2 linked regions of the Canis lupus familiaris genome follow. The protein of the gene in region 1 interacts with the protein of each later gene in a pairwise test. Links are inferred from orthologs where the notes say so. Each region holds a gene or a part of one and is shown in the gene's direction. Other genes may lie near its edges.

Region 1 (10,302 bases):
AAAGAAAGAATGAAGAAGACTGGGCAGGAAGAGGTGATCAGTCATTTTAAATGCCAACAGTGGGAAAGACTTTGTATTGGCTTCATCACATAGGATCCCTGGAAGACATCAATAATGACAACCTCCATGGAGGGCTGGGGTGGGATCCAGGTGTCTGAATGGAAGAAATGCAATGGGGAAGGAAGGGATGGAAGGTGTGAACATAAAGGCACGGGATGTAAACTCCTCTATCAGGAAAGTTGAGCCTGAAGGGAAGAAGAGGGGAGGAAAGGCAAGAAGGTAGATAGAACTGAGGATCTGAGGTTTTGGGCTTCTGTGAACATGTGGACGCAAGGCTTTTGCTTATATAATAGGAAGTTGTGGTGAAAATAGAGAAAGAATAAATTGGAGTTCTCTTTTAAATTTTATTGTATTAGTGGAAAATAATTGTCCAAGGTCTAGAAGGAAAATAAAACAGTGCTGAGGTTTCAAGTACTGGGAATCAGTAGAAAGTATTTCTCAGTCTTTGAGGTAGTCATCTCTCCCTATGTGGTTATGCACGGAGGCTGCTCTGACAAGTGAGAAGATAGAAAATATTCAAGGAAGAGGAAAGATAACGAGCCAGCTAGTATAGAGAGAAAATTGGCTAGAAATGATTACAAATAGTGCATGGCAGTCCCTGCCAAGGCCTGGGCTTGTGGTCAGGAGCCACACACCTACCTAGGGAGAGGCGTGATTTGACTTGAGTTTTGGCTATGGGATCATGTAGGCAGAGGGGGAAGTCCAGAAATTCACCTTAACAAATGACTACTGGACCTATGGTATTTGATCTGGGAGTCTCCACTCAGAGACCAACCAGCTGGGCATAAATCCTCGTTTTTCTATATTTAGAACTCAAATGAGCAAAAGTCTGACCCACAGAGGAGTCCAATTGCTTCAACCATCCACGGCAGCCACGTTGTTTTATTTTTTATATTCTCATGAATAAGATGTTGTTTTCAAATTGCTATTTGCATGTGAAACCAGAATAGCAGTTTATACAGTTCCCTCAGAAACCGAGTGCAATAGAATGGTTTCAGTCTCGTGTTCTGTATGTGTGCACAAGCACGCTCAAGGGCGGGGTGGCACGTGTGCCCAACTGCAAACTGACAGTGCTTATATATATTCACATAAATACTCAAAAAATGTCCCAGAAGAATACATCCCAGACAGATAGCAGGGATTCACTGCGGGCAAAGCAGGGAGGGAATTGAAATTAAAGCTGATGGTCAAAAGGCACCTTAGTTTTACTTGCAATATTAGTTTTTTACCATATAAATTTATTACTTTTAGATTTAAAACATGAATTTAAAAAATTATGAAAAAGGGGCACTTGGTTGGCTGAGTCAGTTAAGCATCTGCCTTCAGCTCAGGTCATGATCCTGGAGTTCCAGGATCAAGTCCCACATAGGGCTCCCTGCTCAGTGAGAGTCTGCTTCTCCCTCTACCCTCATCCCGCTTGTTCTCTCTCTCTCTCTGTGTGTGTGTCTCTCGAATAAATAAAATATTTTTTAATTATGAAAAAATCAATACTAACAAGATTTTCCCAATTATTTTGGGGGGAAGCCAAAATTAGCTACCACCCAGAAGAGGGATAGGTAGTCAGGACACAAGTTATGGAGAAGTAAGTGCTTGCTGTTTGACAGATGTCTAAATGCAACGAATGCTTCCAATAAATTGGAACCTTTTAAATTTGCCATCAGTGACCTCTTAAAAATAATTTAGTCTTTCTTCCCTTTGTCCCTCCAGGTGTCCACATTTCTTCAGACAGCTGTTCTGTGAACTAGAAGAATGGTTTCATCTTTGCAAATGTCACTTTCCTCCTAAGGATAAACATAAAAGAAGGTAGTTCTGACTCGTATTATTAGTCAGGCGGCAATGCTAGAAGCTATAATTCAAAGGGTTGGAGAATTTGCAGAAAATGAGGAACAGGAGGATATGAGAGCCAAGGTCTGCAGAGACCATGCAGTCGCTAGAACTCACATCAGCCCTTACCCTCCACGTGGCACCAGGTGAGGGCTGGGCACAGAGCTGCTAGAGGGTGGGTGGGGAAAAGAATGGAAAGAAAACTGCACAGATAGTCTGTGGGAGATGCACGAGAAGATTCCCAAGCTGCAGAAGGGCCTCAATGGGGCTTGTTGGGGGAGAATCTGCAAGGAGACAAATCAGCCTTTCTCAACTTCTGCCAGCGAGGCTGGGTGACTCTGGAGCATGAAAGTAGACTGAGCTTCCACTCATGGCTGGAAATGCACAAATAGCAGAAGAATAGGAACGAGGAAATCAACATTAATGCATTGCCAAAATAGCTGGTCGTGAGGTCCTGGGACTGGGGTCTGGGGACTTGGCTGATAAACTGGGAGAATGGATGAGGGGAAAGACAAAGATGTCCTGTGATAAGGGCAAAAGAGGGTTGTTAAGTGGCAAGAGAGCAGAAAAGGAAGATGGGTAGAGTTTGTTTTCCTAGGCCTACTAGTCAGCAGTCTCTCTTAAGGGAGGAGCTGATTGTCATTCATTTTTTATTTATCATAGCACTTGCTCAATTAATGCTTTTAGTATTTGAGTGAACCAATTCATGGGAATGGTTTTCTCACCAGATTATCTTGAAGACAAGCCCTGTGTCTTGGGACTAGTATACCGAACATGCCTGGGAAAGCTCACGGAAGTGTGCAGGTAGGCAACAGCTGCTGAATGGACAAATGAACTGGATCTTTCTGAGCTCTGATTTCTTCATCTAAAAATGAAAACCACAAGATTGACTCCCATTCCTGAGAAGGGATGAGGCACACATTATAATACCAGACAAGTTTGCTCTTAAAATTTGCCAAACCAACTCTTGGGCATATTCATTTAAATTCCTCAGTGGGTAGCTGATTCCCTATGGCTAATACTGTATTCGGCCATGGAGGGAAATGAGTCACACAAATGGAATCATAAATACACAAACACACACACACACACACACAAAACTTGGCCATAGATTTTTTTTTTTACTTTTTATCTTCTCTAATACTCCTCCCTTCTGCCTTCCTCACCCCTTAGACTCCACTCCATACAACAGTCTCTCCTTGGACCAAACACCCATGACAAATTCAAAACAGTTGCCTGGGATTTGGCTACTGCTTAACAGGTAGTTATAAACCATTCTGTGGTGCTAACCGAGCCGGCATGAAGAAGCTAATTAAAGTAGTCAAGAAGATTGTTTAAATAAAAATGAAAATGTAAACACGGTCTTCATTGGATAGAGTGATTAGAAATTACAGTTGTTTGTTTGTTGTCAGAACTCTCTGGGCTTTGTCAAAATCCTGACACATGATATAACCTGTCACTAATCAAGAAAGAAGAAAATAAACCAAAAAAAAAAAAAAAAAAGAAGAAGGAAAAAATTCTAAGTAGGAAAACAGACATAGGAATCTTCATCTTTCCAAGTGGGAAAAAAACATCTCATTTGTTTTTCTAGAACAAGTGTGATCTGTGTTTGGACAAAGTGTGAGCTCCTCAGTTTGCCTTGACAGACATGCTCTCTCTCTCTCTCTCTCTCTCTCTCCATTCTGAAGCCCTCAGGCGTGAGATATGCAGGCAGCTCCAAGTGGGAAAGGAGGCCATGAGGATGTAGACAAAAGAACAGAATTAAGGATAATCAAGGTGAGAAATTCAAATGTTTTATGTATAAAAAGTCAAGCTCCACCTTCTTGTATATCTAGGGTGTACCTGACTTATGGAGACAACTCGACAGCATTAACCTTTGAGGTATTATGTATAACTGTAAGTTATTTTTTCTGAAATTGATACATTTAAATTCAGACTGCTTAAATATCTAATGGAGAAAATATCACAGGTTATGGAAGAATGGGAAATGCATGGAGGGACATGTTGGAAAAAAAATATGTACAGTCTATGCTTCTGCTCCACTCGATTTAGTATGGATACGCTGCACTATAAAATAAAAACTTGAGAATAGGATAATTCTACCTCTAATCTGGAAACAGTTCCTGATATGCAGCATGTACACAAGAGTAGTTTTTTTTTTTTTTTAAGAAAAAGAGAGAAAGATAAACAGATGATATTTTTACCATGAATATTGCTAATTACACCTATGGATACAACATGTGTATGAAGATTGCCATAGATATTCTTCTTATTGATTTATTTATAAATCCTAATTACACAAGGCTTTGAGCTGAGGGTTTGTTTCTTTGTTTAAATGTGGCATCTTGGGGATCCCTGGGTGACTCAGTGGTTTAGTGTCTGCCTTCAGCCCAGGGCGTGATCCCGGGGTCCTGGGATCAAGTCCCACATCAGGCTCCCTGCATGGAGCCTGCTTCTCCCTCTGCCTGTGTCTCTGCCTCTCTCTCTCTCTCTCTCTCTCTCTCGTGAATAAATAAATAAAATCTTTAAAAATAAATAAATAAATGTGGCATCTGCTTATGGGCAAGTATTTCCTTAATATGATTCAGACCAGCTCGACATTTAAAATAAATGACATGGATCTGAATTTCAGAGAGGATTACAGAAAATTCAAACAAAACAAAATGACAATAACAAAACAGAAGTTGCCGGTATGCAATATACAGCAGGAACAGAGGGCGAGGATGAAGGGAGGGCCGAGGACAGTGCTTTACTTGTCTTGATACTAGAGCAAACAGGAGCATCCCATGCCACTTTTGTTCAAACCGTCTCCCTCTCTCCTCCATCCTCTCTGTCCCCCAGTCATTTCTAGGCATCAGCAAGGGATAAGGAGGGGGAAGAGAAGGCAAAAAAAGCAAAGAACTGAGCTCATAATAATAACATTTGCCACTAATGATAATAGCAAACACTCATATACTTGTGGCAGCCACTCCTTGAGTGCTTTACATGTAACGCCTCACTTAATTCCCACAACAATCCTATGACTACTCCCATTTTACAGATGAGGAAGCTGAGTCACAGAAAGATCAAAAGCATTTAAAGGCAAGCACCAGGTGGTTAGCTTCAGACCATACCACTTGGGTGCTACTCCAAAGCACACAGCAAGAAGACAAAAGGTCTGAGACTAAGTAGCTGGCAAATTCCCTTCCAAATGCACAGTCTCCAGTTCTATACCACCCTGGAAATGGGAATTCTCCATGTGGGTACCCAAAGGCTAGCAGGTACCACATAGACTCAATAAATACTGGTTAAATGAAAAGATGTTTCATGTCAATCTATAGTGGAACTCTTTAGAATACATTAAGTCCATAAAAACCACAAAAACCTGAATTTGGTGGACTTACAATAGCCCAATGTCTGCTTCCATGCAGCCTAGGAAGGAGCTTATGGCACTCCCCTGAATTTCATCGTGATAATAAAGATCACCTCTTGTTAAAGTAGCAAGCAGTCCAGATCAGAGCTAGACTTCTCACCTGTCCCTAAACTACAGATCACCCTCAGTGTATCAGAAAAAAAAAAAAAAAAAAAAACCAACTGTGGCACAGAGAGGAAATGAACCGAGACAACATCACTTGCAGCAACCGGAAGGAAAAACACACGTAGGGACGCCACTCACATTCTACGTGTGTGGTTGCCCAGTAGGGAAATGCTTGCAGCTGCCTTTAGAAGCAAGTCTGGTGGCTGCAGCAAGAGAGAAGCAGGATCATGAGGCGGGACTGAGCCGTCACCTCCCGCCTGCCTGGCCAGAGAGAGAGAGAGAGGGCCAGAACATCAGGGAAGACCAGATGAGCCAGCACCAGTGGGCCTGCCCCGGGTGAGTCCCCAGACACTCACTGTGGCCTGGGGGGGTGGGGAGACTCACTCACACTCGGACTTCCTGAGTTGGTGTCAGACATCTGTTAGTGCTCCCCACTGCCGACACCCCTTGACTGGAGCCAAGAGGGACTCAATGGCCCCAAGCAGGGAAGAGTGACTCCAGGTTTCTTTCCAGTTGACCTGCAGGCAGGGGCTTGCATGCAACCCCAAACCTACACGATTGATTCTAGCCTTGAAATCAACCTGGGTAGGTGCTTCCTGGTCTAGAAGCTGGGCGGCTCCTCCCCTCTTGCTGCCCTCCTCAGAGAGCTTACCTAGGATTACCTTATGCTTTGGCTTCTCTGACACCATTTCAGGGCTTCCAGGTGTGGGCTGTCACTTAAACCTTATGGTGGATGTGAGTCATTTCTAATGCCATTTCAGCCCCTCTGGGAATGACCCCTGAGGAGCAGGAAACCATGATTGAGAACTGGAGTCGTGTCCAGCTCTGCAGAGACCCCATCATTAGCATCATGTCTAAGGGCTTGGGGACAAATTGCACTGTGTTCTACTTGTCCACACCCGGCCCCCCCAACAGCTTTGTCCTTCCTTCTCTCAATACTTACTAAGTCACGCGTAACTCATTCATTCATTCGATTGCCTTTCTTCCACAAAGGGTTTGAGGCAGCCTTTTTATCTTGCTGAAATTCTTTCAGAATGAAGGAAACGTACAATGTAAAAGGGCTAAAGCCATTTCTAAAAGGGTTACATGTTGTTCAAACTGTGTGGACATGGGTGAGCTGTTTATATTTTTCCCTGTGCCAGTGGTGAGAGCTGGGAGTGGGTTCTCTGGTCTTCTCTCCCCCCCGAAGCTGGTTCCCACCCAGGAGTGAGTTCAAAGAGCAGTTGCCCATGACAGAGCTCTGGGAACCAGCCAGATGGTTTTCAACCTTGTTTCTGTTTCCTTCCATGCTTGGGAGGAAATTCCGCCCAATTTTCAAGGACATTCCTGTTTTAAGAATAGGGCAAAGGGGAGCCGAGGAGAGAGAAGGATGTGAAATCAGCCTTGAGGTGGAGTTCCATTTCTCATTCATTAGTTAATTCACGTATTTAACACCTATCTCGTGAGTATTCACTGTGTGGCAGCTGCGTTTAAGTCCAAACTTAACATTAGATGGAGCAAAATTGATGTTGTCCCGCTTCCAAAAAGCTTACGGTCCAGGGGAGAAGCAGACGTTAATTACTAATTACACAAATGTGATAATGATCAGAACATATTGTGGGGGAAGCTGATCTCATCTGAAAGGCAGGGAGGTTTCCAGAAGGAGGGGGGAGACTAGAACTGAAAAAGGCGTAGGAGTGCACAAGGCTACGCTCCAGGTAGAGGGAACAGTGGAGACCACTTCCTGAGGTAGGAGACCACAGAATCACCTGGCAAAACCAAGGCCAGTGCAGCAGGAGGGAAGTGGGGAGTGGCTCAAAATGAGCCCAGAGGCCCAGCAGAGAAGGTGCTGCTTACTCTAAAAGCCATGGAGAAGGTAGAGGTGTTGTGGTCAGATTGATCTGCATTCTTAAGAAATCCCTTTTGATAGGTTTGGAGAATGGATGGGAGGGGGCTACACCTATGGGCAGGGAGACCAATGAGAAGGTGGATGGAGTCAGCCAAGCAAGAGTATCTATGTGAGTATGGCTAAGAGAGATGGCAGCGGAGAGAGGACTGCACAAAGTTAAAAGTCATTTAGAAAGGAAAATCGACAGTGCTTGGTGGTAGACAGAAAAGGGGAGTTGGGAGGGAAAGTATCCAAGACAACCCCCAGTTCCTGGTTTGCACATCCAAGTGGATGCTGATGCTCCTTGGCGATCACAGAGACTGGCGAAGCTGGTCGGGACCAGGCCAGGGTTGGTTCAGTTCTAGAATCGATCCAGTGGTAGATGTCAGCCAGCCGGTTGACACTGACCAATATTTAGAGCTCTGAGCAGAGGTCTGGGGATCCTAGGCGTGGGGTTGGTAAGTGTAGCCGTGGGTACGGGTGACCTGCAGGAAAGTGTTGAGTGAGAAAGCAGGAGAGTGGCTTAGAATTGAACCTCAAGGAAGAAGCACCTGGGGGGCTCAGTCACTTAAGCGTCTGGCTCTTGATTTAGGCTCAGATCATAATCTCAGGTTCATGGGATCAAGTCCTGTGTAGGGCGTGCTCAGCATGGAGTCTGCCTAGGATTCTCTCTTCCTCTCCCATCCCCCTCCCCACTGCTTGTGCTCTCTCTCTCTCTCTCTTAAATAAATACAATCTAACAAAAAAAAGAAGAAAGAAAAAGAAAGAAAGAAAGAAAGAAAGAAAGAAGAAAAAAGAATTGAATCTCAAGAAATTCTAACTTTTTTTTAAAAAGAGCCTATCTTTATTCATTCATGAGAGACACAGAGAGAGAGGCCGAGACATAGGCAGAGAGAGAAGCAGGCTCCCTGTGGGGAGCCCGATGTGGGACTCAATCCCAGGACCCCGGGATCATGACCTGAGTCAAAGGCAGATACTCCTTTGAGCCACTGAGCCACCCAGGTGTCCCAAATTCTAACATTTAAATAGAGGAGAAGGGTCCCTCCAAAAAGAGTAGGATGGTTCCTCGAAAAGTTAAATACAAAATTATCACACATGGCCCGGCAAGTCTACTCCTACTTATACATCCAGAAGAACTGAAAACAAAGATTCAAATAAATACATGTACCCACACTTTCATAGCAGCACTATTCACAATAGTCCAGGAGGGGAAACAGCTTGTGTGCCCGTCAGCGGATGAACGGAGAGGCAAATCGTGGTATATCCATGCAACCGAGTATGACTCGGCCACACACAGAAAAAAGTACTTATGCCTGCTGCTCCAGCATGGATAAGTCTCAAAAACACCATGCTGCAATGAAAGAAGCCAGGCACAAAAAGCACACGATTCCATTTATAAGAAATATCCAGAATGGGCAAATCAATAGAGACAGATGTAGATTGGTGGCTGCTGGGGGCTGGGGGAGGGGAAGTGAGGAGCAAGGGCTTGATGTGTACAAGGCCACCTTGTAGGGTGATGAAGATGGTTTGGCTCTAGATAGAGGTGGCGGCTGCCTGGTACTGTGGATATAGGAATATTGCTGAATGGTCCTCTTTAAAATGTCTAATTGATGTTATGTGAATTTACTTCAATATTAAAAAAAAAAAAAGACTAGGAAGGTGTAACTAGAGGAGTGGAACACAGGCTGCATGACTTTGGGCAAATAAAGCAGCTCCCAGTGCCTCTTTCTCTGTGTGTAAATGAGAACTGGCTCACTTGGATGCTCTGGTAAGGATTAAACAGGACAGGGTTTTTAAATTTCTAGCAGAGGGAGGGTGTAGTAAGAGCAGTCAGTTTCCTACTTCTATTCCTCCAGCCTCATCAGGATTGGACTAACTTCTTTTTTTTTTTTTTTCATAGTTAAGAGGATGATTACTCCTATAATAGTCTTTCTTACAAACTGCTCACACCTTGGGGACATCCCTTTATTATTGTTTCCTTTTTTTAAAAAATGGTTTTTTCTTAGATTTTATTTATTTATTCATGAGAGACACAGAGAGAGAGGCAGAGACACAGGCAGAGGGAGAAGTAGGGAGCCTGATGTGGGACTCGATCCCAGGACCCCAGGATCACACCCTGGGCCAAAGGCAGATGCTCAACCACTGAGCCACCCAGGTGGGCGTCCCCCCTTTTTTTAAAAATTCTTTATTTAAATTCAATTTAGTTAACATATAGCGTATTGTTAGTGTCAGAGGCAGACTTCAGTGATTCCTCAGTTGCCTGTAACACCCAGTGCTCATTACCTCACGTACCTTCCTTCATGCCCATCACCCAGTTACCCCATCTCCCACCCCCGCACCCCCTCCAGCGACCCTCAGTTTATTTCCTAGAATCCAGCATCCCATGGTTTGCCAGGACTGGCCTAACGCCTGACAGCCTGAATCTTTATCTCAGGACCTGAGAACTCTCTCTAAGCCAGGTAGGGCCACTGTAATCGCTTAAAGGCAAATGAAAATGCCCAGAAACTGTCCAATGGGCCATAAATATCCCAGCATCCTCAGGCCCGAGCAGAGTGACTCCAAGACGTGTCTTTTACCTTTGCCCCAAAGCTGTTACGCGAGCTCACGCTCAGTTGCCCACAGTGGTAGCTGGCTGCATAATGCGCCCTTCCCTTCTCCTTACCCCTCCCCTACTCCCTACTCCCCGACAGGCTGTCCTGGCATCATTTGTTAAACCATATGCACTTGAATCTGAGTCAGGGTCCGCTTCTGGAGGAAACTGAAGCGGACACAACCTGCTACACAACGCCGTGGATACTCAGGTCATGTCATCCCATGTCCCCCATTTCATCCTAGACACCTGCGCTTCGCTCTCTCGCATACCCATTCAGGGGCCTCCCCATCCCCTTCTGAGATCCCACCTAGAGAAAGGACCCAGTACAACTACAGTGAGAGCCCCCCCCCTTTTTTTAAGCTTTTATTTTTGAGTATCTCAATGTCCAACGTGGGGCTCGAACTTAGAAGCCAGAGATTAAGAGTCGCAGGCTCCATGGAC
Region 2 (10,302 bases), on another chromosome or scaffold:
AACAGGGAGCACCTAACATTCATGTCCCATGTCCTGCTAAGTACCAGGCTCTTCTATGGAACTGCCCTAGTGCTGAGCGTCCTCATACCCTGACTAAACTCAGAATGAATTTATACCCCAGACGAAATAGCAAATATACTGGCATGCCAAGGAGGCAGTGTGCTGTTAAGCTTCCACCCCCATCTCCCTGCTCCAACTACTCCGCCCTGAACACAGCAGAACACGAACAACCCCACACACCTATAGATATTGCTTGGTTACTGCCAACAAACAAAGGAAAAGGGAGAGCCAGGAATCTGGGCCAGAGTGACATGAGCAGGCCTCCCTCTGACAGCCAGTTACCCAACAGGCAGACTGGGCACGTGGTTGGGGCAGGAGTAGAGCAGGAATCCAGCAAAATGTTTATTAAAAGGAGTTTAAAATAAATAATTAAAAAAAAAAAACCTTAACAGTCTTTGTGGGAAAAATCAGAACTTTGTCAAATTGGTTATACTTGCTTGACAGTGTAATGCTTGAAAGTTCTTTTGAGGGGCAGAGAACTACTCTTTTCAGGGCTTAGAGCTTCTGATTGCAATCCTGCCTGCCAGGAGCAAGCCAAACCTTCTGGACAGACCACTTCGGTGCCCCCTCCAGTTCCACAGAGGAACAGAGACCCTGGAATACCAAGGGAGCCAAAGGCTGGGGCCTTGCCCCAAAGCACCAAAAAGACATCATATGTCAGCTGAAAGAGAGGTTGTAAACTCAAAGCCCGGGGGCTCAGTTTAGCCAGAAGATGCAGAACTGCACTTTGTTTGATTCTCATGTTTTACAATTTTCACATCAAAATCCACTTTCTGAATTTTTTTTTTTAACAGTGGACTATCAGTACCGAATTTCAAATGCTGCTTGACAACAATCGTTTGAGCTGAGTGTGAGGGACATGCTCGCCTGGGTCTAGTCTGTTAGAGAGGCCACCAACTCCCCTTGGACTCGTTCCTTTGGCTGGCCTCATTCCATTGTGGAGCCCGCCTGCCCCCTAAAAGGTAGATATTTGCGCTTAAGACCCTTTAAAGCTTTAATCCCCCGTTAAATTTGCAGAATTTGTAGCAAAAGAAACACATGAAGGCTTTGACAGTGTTCCTTTTAAGGCATGACAAATGAAAGTCCTAATGGTCTTTCTTCAGGAGAGATCCAGAGCTTGGGGGCTCCAAGTTCTGAAAGGGATGGATGGAGGTGCTTGCTAATAACCAGAGGAGGAAAAAAGACAGGGCCTGGGATCAAAAGCAGAATATAAATGCAGAATTTCACCGTGGGGCTGTCAGTGGTGTACTTGACTTCAGGACTGTGCCATGGCTCCCTTTTCCCCCGCCTGGCTTTATCAGGCAACAGGTAGCCCTTTCCAGGAGTTTAAGTTGCTGGGGCTAAAATAATGTTAGTTTAATTGGCCAGGACAACTGGCACAGGACACCCTGTCCATGATGTTAAGCCAAATATATTGGCCCATGTACCCTGCTGCTAGGCCGTTGGGCACTTCAGACAGTAGGTATAGTCCACACTGTGCATTTCCCTCTCAGGAGGGTTGTGTGAAGGGCCTGCATTCCCTCAGGCCTCTGATAATGCTCCTTCCCCGACAGGGGTGCTCCTGCCCAGAGTGAAGCCCACTGAGCATCACTGGCCATCCTGTCATTCCTTATGGCTACATCCTGAGCGAAAATATAAAACCCCTTTGAGGTTAATGTACTCTTTCTTCTGTCTCTTGCATGAAAAAGAAAAAAAGCCAAATGACATTTTAAAAATGAGTCATCTAAGATTTTAACAACTTCACAATGTCGGCGGGCAAACTCTAAATGTCCAAGAGTCCATAAATGTCTTTCTAAACCAATCATCAGTTTAGCTGCCTTCTTTTGCCCCAGCTGCTCATGTTTTCCAATTTCCAAGTATGTTCTTTATCATCCAAATTGTAACGTTTGTTGATTTAAACCACATAGAGCTCTATGTGGTAGTGAGGAAAACACGTTGGGTCACATTCAAAACTGCCTCCTAGGTGGCAGAAAATCATATGGTACCTCCTTGGGAATCCCTACCACAGGGACAGGTCATCAAGCCTCTCAGCGCCTCCCAAAATTTCCAAAAGCCTCATGACAAATCAGGAAATGCCTGGGCCTGACTCTTACCACTAGGTGTCACACTACACAATGAGGAATAAAGACCCATCAGGAACCTGAAGCAAAAAAAGGAAAAAAGCTATTGAAATAGATATTTTTATTCATGCATGATTTTCTTTCTTAATGGTCATTTTTAAACCTGCAGCTAAAAATCCTCTTCTAAGGTAGATAAGTGGGGCCTTTAAAATACAACTTTTCCTTCTTTCTTCTTCTCCCCCCCCCCCAGACACGAATATTCCCAGATAGGGGAACATCAACCCTCTATTTTACCTAATGCTTGGAGTAGAAAATATTTTGAGTATCGTCTTCAAAGATTACAGTGCATTCAGCCTCATTTCTACGATGTGTTTTCAAAAGTGTTAATACTACAACTGCTTTGGCCCAATGATTGATACGTTGGAATAGAAATTAGATAAACTGCCATCGGGTGCCTCGGTAAATTTCTTTGCATTTCAGTCTCTTTTGGGGAAAGTAGGAACTATACCTAACAAGAGGAGTTCTGAGAACTAACAGTGTATTGCAGTAAGTGTTGGGAATCCTTCTAAAAACATACTGTGATATTTCTAAGAGACATGGTCACCCTGAGGCAGTTATTATGTATCTGTGGACAAGTAATAAAATTTTTAAGCTGGAGAGAAACCTTAAATGACGTTAAATCCAATGTTATTATAAAAGCCGGTACACCACAGCAAAGTTAACTGATCTCTCCAAATTAATATGTAATTAATTAGAGGTAGAGCCTGCAATTGAGATTTATTTATAGCTGTTGTGCCCTGCCTCAATAATTGTATAGTTTGTATATTATATGCCTGCAGAGACAATGGAGTCTATCTTTGGAAGTTTTCATTATAACATGTGATCATTACTATCCTGAAGGTTGTTGTTGTTGTTTTTAAGATTATTTATTCATGAGAGACACAGACTGAGAGGGAGAGGCAGAGACACAGACAGAGGGAGAAGCAGGCTCCTTGCAAGGAGCCTGATGTGGGACTCGATCCCAGATCCCGGGATCACGACCTGAGCTGAAGGCAGGCATCCAACAGCTGAGCCACCCGGGCGTCCCTATCCTGAAGGTTTTATTTCTTGATTTTAGGGCTTTTATCCCCCCTTATATTTTTTTTATCTCACTCCCCCGACCCCGGTTCCCTAAATTCAGATAGTCGGGAGGAGTGGAGGGAGAAGAGATGAGCAAAGGGTTGGTTAGTATATGGCCAGTCAAGTTAAGATGATTGCAATATAATCACCAGAAATTTCTGCAAAATTATAAAGCCTCCTGGAGCTAGTTCTGAAAAACTCTGACCTGAGTTGCTTCATTTTGCCTGGACCAATTCTAGAGATAGAAAAATTCTGTTAGAGGCTGGTTGGCTAGGAGAATGGGGGTAGGGTGGGGAACGTAAGTTATATTTCTGCAGGTGAAACCAAAGGATGAGGAGCCCATAGGGGCTATACACAGCGCCTGGAGAGGTCCAACTGCTGCCCTCTCCAGGGCAGGAGAGCAGGGAGCCAGCAAGAGGGTAATGTTAGGTTGGCGGGAGGGTGGCCTTCTGTAGGATGCTTTGCAATCTAAACCATCCTTAAGGCCCAATCTTGGGTAAGGCACTTCTCAACCTATTCTTCAGCCTCTTCCAAATGCTTCTGGAAAGACACCGGCTGGGTACCCAGAAGTAGGCTCTGCAGCAGCACAGTGCAAATCAGGAAACATGACCTCAATAATTATTTTGTTCGTGCAGGGCAGCTAGCTACAACCTCTACTACAAAGATTAACACCTTGCTTTACCTGAAAAAAAGTATGGTCCTGTTCAGCGTTTTCGCTGAACACAGGGCAGAGTGCTTGCCTCTCCACCAGTCAACAGGAATGTTAATCCCGAGGAAATGATTTGAGGGTTCTCCAAGCATTTCAATGCCAAAAAATGCCAAAAGCTTTTTGGCTTTTAATGCCAAAGCATGCACAACTTTTACCTGGTTGGGGGGGGGGGGGGGCCTCGAGGGAGTGCTACGTGTGTCCCCGCGCCACAAAGAGCCTGGCATTGGCAGGGTGGCAGAGGCAGCCGGCGACCTTCTAACCCGCCAGTGCGTCCTTCCCCGCAGAAGTTTGGGGAAGCAAATCCCTACGTCCAGCCATCATTTCCACCCGAGTTTTCAAAAGATCAAGAAACGGAAAGGTTGGCAAACCCCAAGGAGGAACTGCCTGGCGGGTCTGCGTTCATTGGGATCTCAGCAGCCGACGACCCCAAGTCGAATCGATCGTGGGAAACCCCAGGGAAAGAAGGCCGCTTGCAGAGGGACAGGATTACCGAGTGCAAGCTGCAGGGAAGTACCGGGGGAGGGGGCCTCGGTCGGGAGGACTTTCCAGCCGCTCAGCGTTCATCAAAAAGTTCCCTGTACATGACCCCAGTGGCTCATCGCCGGGAGTTTCTCTGATGAACCCGGCTCAGGGTTTAGGCTTCTCCCCCTTCCTCCCCCTCCCGAGCAGAGGACGGGGCCAGTTCTCTTTTCTGGTCTGACTGGCTTGGAAATTCCCCGCGCCTGACCCCGCCCCGGAGAAATCCCCTGCCAGCGTTTATAGGGCGCCGCGGCGGCGCTGGCGAGCCCACAAGAGTCGCAGCCAGCGGTCCTGCGTCCGTGACCCTGCGAGGCGAGGCGAGGCGAGGCGGCGAGCGCGCAGCCCGCGGCCGAGCGCACCTGGGCAGCAGCGCCGAGCCTTCCCGCGCCATGCTGCAGCAAGCCGAGCACGCCCAGGACTGGGCCATGGAGGGTCCCCGGGACGCGCTCAAGAAGGAGCGGCTGCTGGACGACCGCCACGACAGCGGCCTGGACTCCATGAAGGACGAGGAGTACGAGCAGCTGGTGAAGGAGCTGCGGGAGATCCGTCTCGAGCCGCAGGAGGCGCCGCGCGGCGCCGAGCCCTGGAAGCAGCAGCTCACCGAGGACGGAGACTCGTAGGTGTCTCGGGGCGGGCGGGGACGCCGCGCCTGCAGCGCGAGGCCGAGGGGCGGCAGCCGACCGGGGTGTGGGCACCGATCCCCCGTACACCCCTGGCCCCGGGACCGCGCAAAGCTGCCGGCTGCGCTGCGGGCAGCAGAGGAGGGTCGGATCCCGGGCTGGCGGTGCAGCAGCCCTGCGCTGCAGCGCGCACCCCCACCCCCCAGCCCCGGTCCGGAGCCGGTCCTGCCGGCGGGGGCGGGGCGGCGGCGGGGACGCGAAGTCCCCGCTTGCACAAGGGGGGCGGGAGCTCCTGCCCCGCGGGCGGGCGCCGGGGGGCCGGGAGGGGAAGTACAGGGCGTTCCGGCCCGGCGGGAGGGCGGGGCGGTCTGGCCGGCGCCCGCCGAGGAGGGAGGGGGCCCGGAAAGTCCCTGGGCGCCTGCCAGGAACACTCAGCTCATAATAACCTCGCGGAAAACACCGCGGCCTCGGCCTCCAGAAACCCCGGCCTTGCGCAATCCCCCGCAGCCCGCGCCTCCCTGGGCCCCACGCGATGCACTCACCAGCCCTGGGGGTTTTTCCCTCTCTTCCCCTTAGGTTCCTGCACTTGGCCATCATCCATGAAGAGAAGGCCCTGACCATGGAAGTGGTCCGCCAAGTGAAGGGCGACCTGGCCTTCCTCAACTTCCAGAACAACCTGCAGCAGGTGCGCCGGCTCGCCCAGCCCTGTGCCTCTGACCCAGTGATGAAGTTGGATCTAGCTCAGTTGCTCCCAATCCTTTCTAAATTAATAATCACTGGGCATTATGTACCTTGACCTTTTTACATTGGAATCGGCCAACGTCCTAGAGAATAAAGAAAATTCTATTGATTTGGTGAGGCCTATGATGAAAGCCCACCTGCGGCCTCTGGCATTTATCTTGCCCTTCATACCTGTCTGGGAGGAGGAGCAGCACCCACAACCAGTAGATCTCCGGAGTTCAAGGGAAGACAGACTCTTGAGTTTGGGCCATGGCTTACCCTCTTTCTATTCCCTCTTGTGTTTGTAGACTCCACTCCACTTGGCTGTGATCACCAACCAACCAGAAATTGCTGAGGCACTTCTGGAAGCTGGCTGTGATCCTGAGCTCCGAGACTTTCGAGGAAATACCCCCCTACACCTTGCCTGTGAGCAAGGCTGCCTGGCCAGCGTGGGAGTCCTGACTCAGACTTGCAGGACCCAGCACCTCTACTCCATCCTCCAGGCCACCAACTACAATGGTATGTCTGCCTGCCCTACCCTGCCCATCAGAAGGCAGGTGACATGGAGAAGGGAGAGGTAGGCCAATGTTAGGAGTCCAGGCAAGAGCTGAAACTCTGAATACTTGAAAGGTTGAGAAAATATGCATGCAAAAGGTCTGTTTCATGCCTTGATAAAGTTCATTCAGAGCCCAGATTCTGGGTTCTCCAAATTCAGAATTTATTCCCTATAAGAATAGACAGAAAGTTCTGCTTGAGATCTGAGGGTTGAAGCAAGTGGTTATATTTGCTTCATTGTTCTTCTAGGTCACACATGTCTACATTTAGCTTCTATCCATGGCTATTTGGGCATTGTGGAGCTTCTGGTGTCTTTGGGTGCTGATGTCAATGCTCAGGTGAGTTCTTCATGTCTCCAGATGGAACGCATCAGGGCTCCAGGCCCTCCTCAATAAGACCTCACATGTTCTTGTTGCAAGTAGAAATTCCAAACTCAACCATAAACATCTCAAATTCCTTTTGGTTTCAGGAGCCCTGTAATGGCCGAACCGCCCTCCATCTTGCAGTGGACCTGCAGAATTCTGACCTTGTGTCGCTTTTGTTGAAGTGTGGGGCTGATGTCAACAGAGTTACCTACCAGGGCTACTCCCCGTACCAGCTCACGTGGGGCCGCCCAAGCACACGGATACAGCAGCAGCTGGGCCAGCTGACCCTAGAAAACCTTCAGATGCTGCCAGAGAGTGAGGATGAGGAGAGCTATGACACAGAGTCAGAGTTCACAGAGGACGAGGTGAGTGTCAACTCCATCGCTCTGCACAAAGCAGTACCCTCCCAGGTCTCTAGAGCTCCTCTTTATCCAAAGAGCTCAATGCAATGAAGTTCTCCCACTTTAGTGTTCATGACCAGGAGTCTCCCAAAAGTGTGTCTTTGTTTTTTGCTCTTTTTAAAGGAGAGGAGCATTAAAGAAAAACTTCCTTAGCCCCTGAGGTTAATTTATACTTGGGTTATGGAGAATGGAATCCAAGAGTACTTGATAATGGCCCTCACCCTTATCCCAGTACCTTTGACAAAACTGGAAGCTTAACATGGCTTTTTTTTCTCTTGTTTTTAGCTGCCCTATGATGACTGTGTGCTTGGAGGCCAGCGCTTGACGTTATGAGCTTCAAAACATATCTAAAAGAACACGGACTTGTATATTTGTACAAAAAGAGAGTTTTATTTTTCTAAAAAAAAGAAAAAAAAAGAAAAAAATCAAAAGGGGGTACTTAAAACCACACTTCACATTCCCTAGCCAGAAACATTTACTATGGTGGATCAGCCCTTGTTATTTTTTGTGAACTTTGGAAGGAGGACAAGATCAATGGAATTCAAAGAAAACCTTGTTCAGAAGTTGCCTTTGTGGGGTTTCTGAAGGAGGTTATGCAAAATGTGACAAAAGGACTACATCGCATTGTGCTTTTTGATTGAATCACCATAGATTCAGTGGCTGTGCCCAGTGTGGGATGCGTGACAACCAGGTGTAATGACCTGGTGTGTCATTAAACCTTGGGGGGGGGGGGCGGTGTGGGGTTAAAAGTCACTACCTGTCAAGGTTTGTGTTTACCCCCCTGTAAATGATGTACATTGTGTATTTTGTTGGTAATTATTTTGGTACTTCTAAGACATGTATTTATTAAACAGATTTTTACAAACAGAATTATCGTGATCATTCTCTTTGGGCTGCCATGGGGCTCCCAACCTGAGAGTCATCCGATCCTCTGGGGAGGTGTAGAGCTGTGTGGGAGTGCTTACCACAGCTAGCTACAAAGCCCTTTCAGAGAGCAGCTTCTCACGCTGTGTAAGCCAGCCTCCCCGCCAGGCTTCGCCGGCAGCCCCAGGGCCCTATGCGTGGGAGAGGAGGCTCTAGCAAGATGATAGGAAACCACCATTCTTAGGTGGTGGGGGTGGGGTAGGGGTGGGGGGCTTCTTGGCCTACAGCTGGAATCCTCCATTGTCATCTGCTTTCATCTTGGTTTAAGCATGCCAGGACTCTTCCACTTTAGGGAATTATTTTGATGAAGAGAAATATGCTTAAATCACATTTTATATTACTGGGAAAGTTCTTAACTATAATACTGGAAGTTCCTAAGGAATGAGCTCAGAAATGGAACACACTAACATTAGCAGGTACCCACCTTTGAGCCTTCATTTCTTAATTTATAAACTGGGCTGTTCTAAAGATTGTACAAGATAACACACGTCTAAAGCAGCATAGCAGAGTGCTAGGCACATGGTGCTAGAGAGAAATGCAAGCTACTGCACAACATCCTGTATTTCAAAGGGGAAGAAACCAGTCCAGAGAGAATGTCCAGTCTGGGGTCACCTTGCAGGAAAGGCAGGTGGTTAACTTCCAGCCCTTGTTTCCAGGTGATTAATATCTTTTAACTGCATTCCACCTCTAAATCAACCTATTGTTACCAGCTGTAGTGAGTGATACTAAAGGCCTAAAGAGTCTTTTCCCCAGCTCGGTCCATCTGCTAATTCTACTGAATCTAACAGAAGTCAAGAACTTGTGAAATTTGAGTTTAAATGCTCTGTATTGACGTTTTCATCCCTAAAAGACATTTCTTGCCTAGGTAGAAAGAGTAGTATAGCCAAGTTCATGGCATTATATAAAATACAGAATGGCATATAAATGCAATCCATGTACTTTGGCTTACACCTAAGAAAACATTGCCATTACATTATCCCTTTCCGGATCCATAAATGCTGTCAAAATCCAGTGAGCATGATGATCACCTTCCTCTCAGACCAAAGAGGAGCCAATACGTAGTGGCTCTTTTAATATATAAAGCGTATATTGATTGTAGATTGGAGTGACCCATCAAAGCCATCCCTGTCTTCCTCCTGCAGCCTCAGTCATTGGAGCCGAGCACTGTGGTGGCCCCGCTACCAGCTTTGTCTTCTCTCAAAGTGCTCCAGGCCCATCACAGAAATTCCCCGTGCACCCCAGAGCCCATGAACACAGGTGCTATGTGATCTAACACATGAATGTTGACCAGGTTCGGCTCTGTCAGCTGATGGGTAGAAGAGGTAGGTAAGAGGGGTGGTGGGGGGAAGAACCATCACCTCATATTCAAACGAACACAGGTTGGAAACTTGGCTTCCAAATTTGGAGTGATGCCCTTAGCACTTCACAGTCACACATATCTCTCTCTCCTCTATGGTACTGAATTTGTGCCAAGTTGTTTGTCACCCTTACTCCAGCTCTGTGAGAAGTTTGGAAAAATGGGGCAAAGGGATGTGGCCCACTGGTTTCCTCAGGCTCCTTGGCAACTGGCTTTGGTGTAGAGGTGACACCTTCCATGGTCATGGCAGGGAGGGGCCTCTTCTGACCCATTTGGGCCCAGCCTCTCCCACATTTCTAGGCCTCAGCTTTTCTGCTTATCAGGACCTCCACCTTAAGGGTGGATTCCATTATCACCATAAATCTCTCAAGAACGCTGGGCCCATTTTCTTACTCTTGGGGTCTTCCTGTTTCTTCACCTCCTTTCTTTCTTTCTTTCTTTCTCTTTTTTTTATCTGAAACCTATTTTCTTTCCTTCATGCCACTAGTTGGGTGACTGGAGCCTGGAATTCCCTAAAGAAAAATTTTAGAACCGAAACACTCTAATCTGCAGAGTCAGTCTTGGGAAGATTTCTAAGCAAACAAGAACAAACGTTTTCAAAGAAAACAGTGCAGCAGCCCGAGAGCCTTTTCTGCCCTCAGATTTCTTCCAAGAAGCCAAAGGTCCTGTCAGGACAGGTAGGAGTAAGGGAGCCTTGGGAAAGAGGGAAATGGCAGAAGGGGGGAAATAAAAAGTCACGTCAGCAACTTCCTCGAATTTAGTTCCTTGATTCCTTCTGCCTGCCTCATCCCCAGGACAAATTTCCTTTATAGGTCACATGTACCAAGTCCCTCCCATAAGGAAGGGTTTTTCTTTAAAGAGGGAAACAAACTCCAGTCTGAGCAACTGGAGGG

Evidence for each region.
Region 2: the proteins of NEDD9 (region 1) and NFKBIA interact in binary tests that used the Homo sapiens proteins (3 or more experiments, as listed by UniProt). The two-hybrid records come from large-scale screens. The link is inferred for Canis lupus familiaris from reciprocal best matches to the Homo sapiens genes NEDD9 and NFKBIA.

What each region holds. Positions count from the first base shown.
Region 1 is NC_049256.1:12,336,337-12,346,638, reverse strand, and holds the start of NEDD9 (enhancer of filamentation 1), read left to right. Parts: upstream 1-5,536; 5' UTR 5,537-5,737; intron 5,738-6,344; exon of another isoform or gene 6,345-6,484; intron 6,485-10,302. UniProt on the Homo sapiens protein: Scaffolding protein which plays a central coordinating role for tyrosine-kinase-based signaling related to cell adhesion. As a focal adhesion protein, plays a role in embryonic fibroblast migration.
Region 2 is NC_049229.1:14,260,310-14,270,611, reverse strand, and holds NFKBIA (NF-kappa-B inhibitor alpha), read left to right. Parts: upstream 1-4,728; 5' UTR 4,729-4,856; coding exon 4,857-5,083; intron 5,084-5,663; coding exon 5,664-5,772; intron 5,773-6,115; coding exon 6,116-6,326; intron 6,327-6,611; coding exon 6,612-6,700; intron 6,701-6,831; coding exon 6,832-7,092; intron 7,093-7,413; coding exon 7,414-7,461; 3' UTR 7,462-7,998; downstream 7,999-10,302. UniProt on the Homo sapiens protein: Inhibits the activity of dimeric NF-kappa-B/REL complexes by trapping REL (RELA/p65 and NFKB1/p50) dimers in the cytoplasm by masking their nuclear localization signals.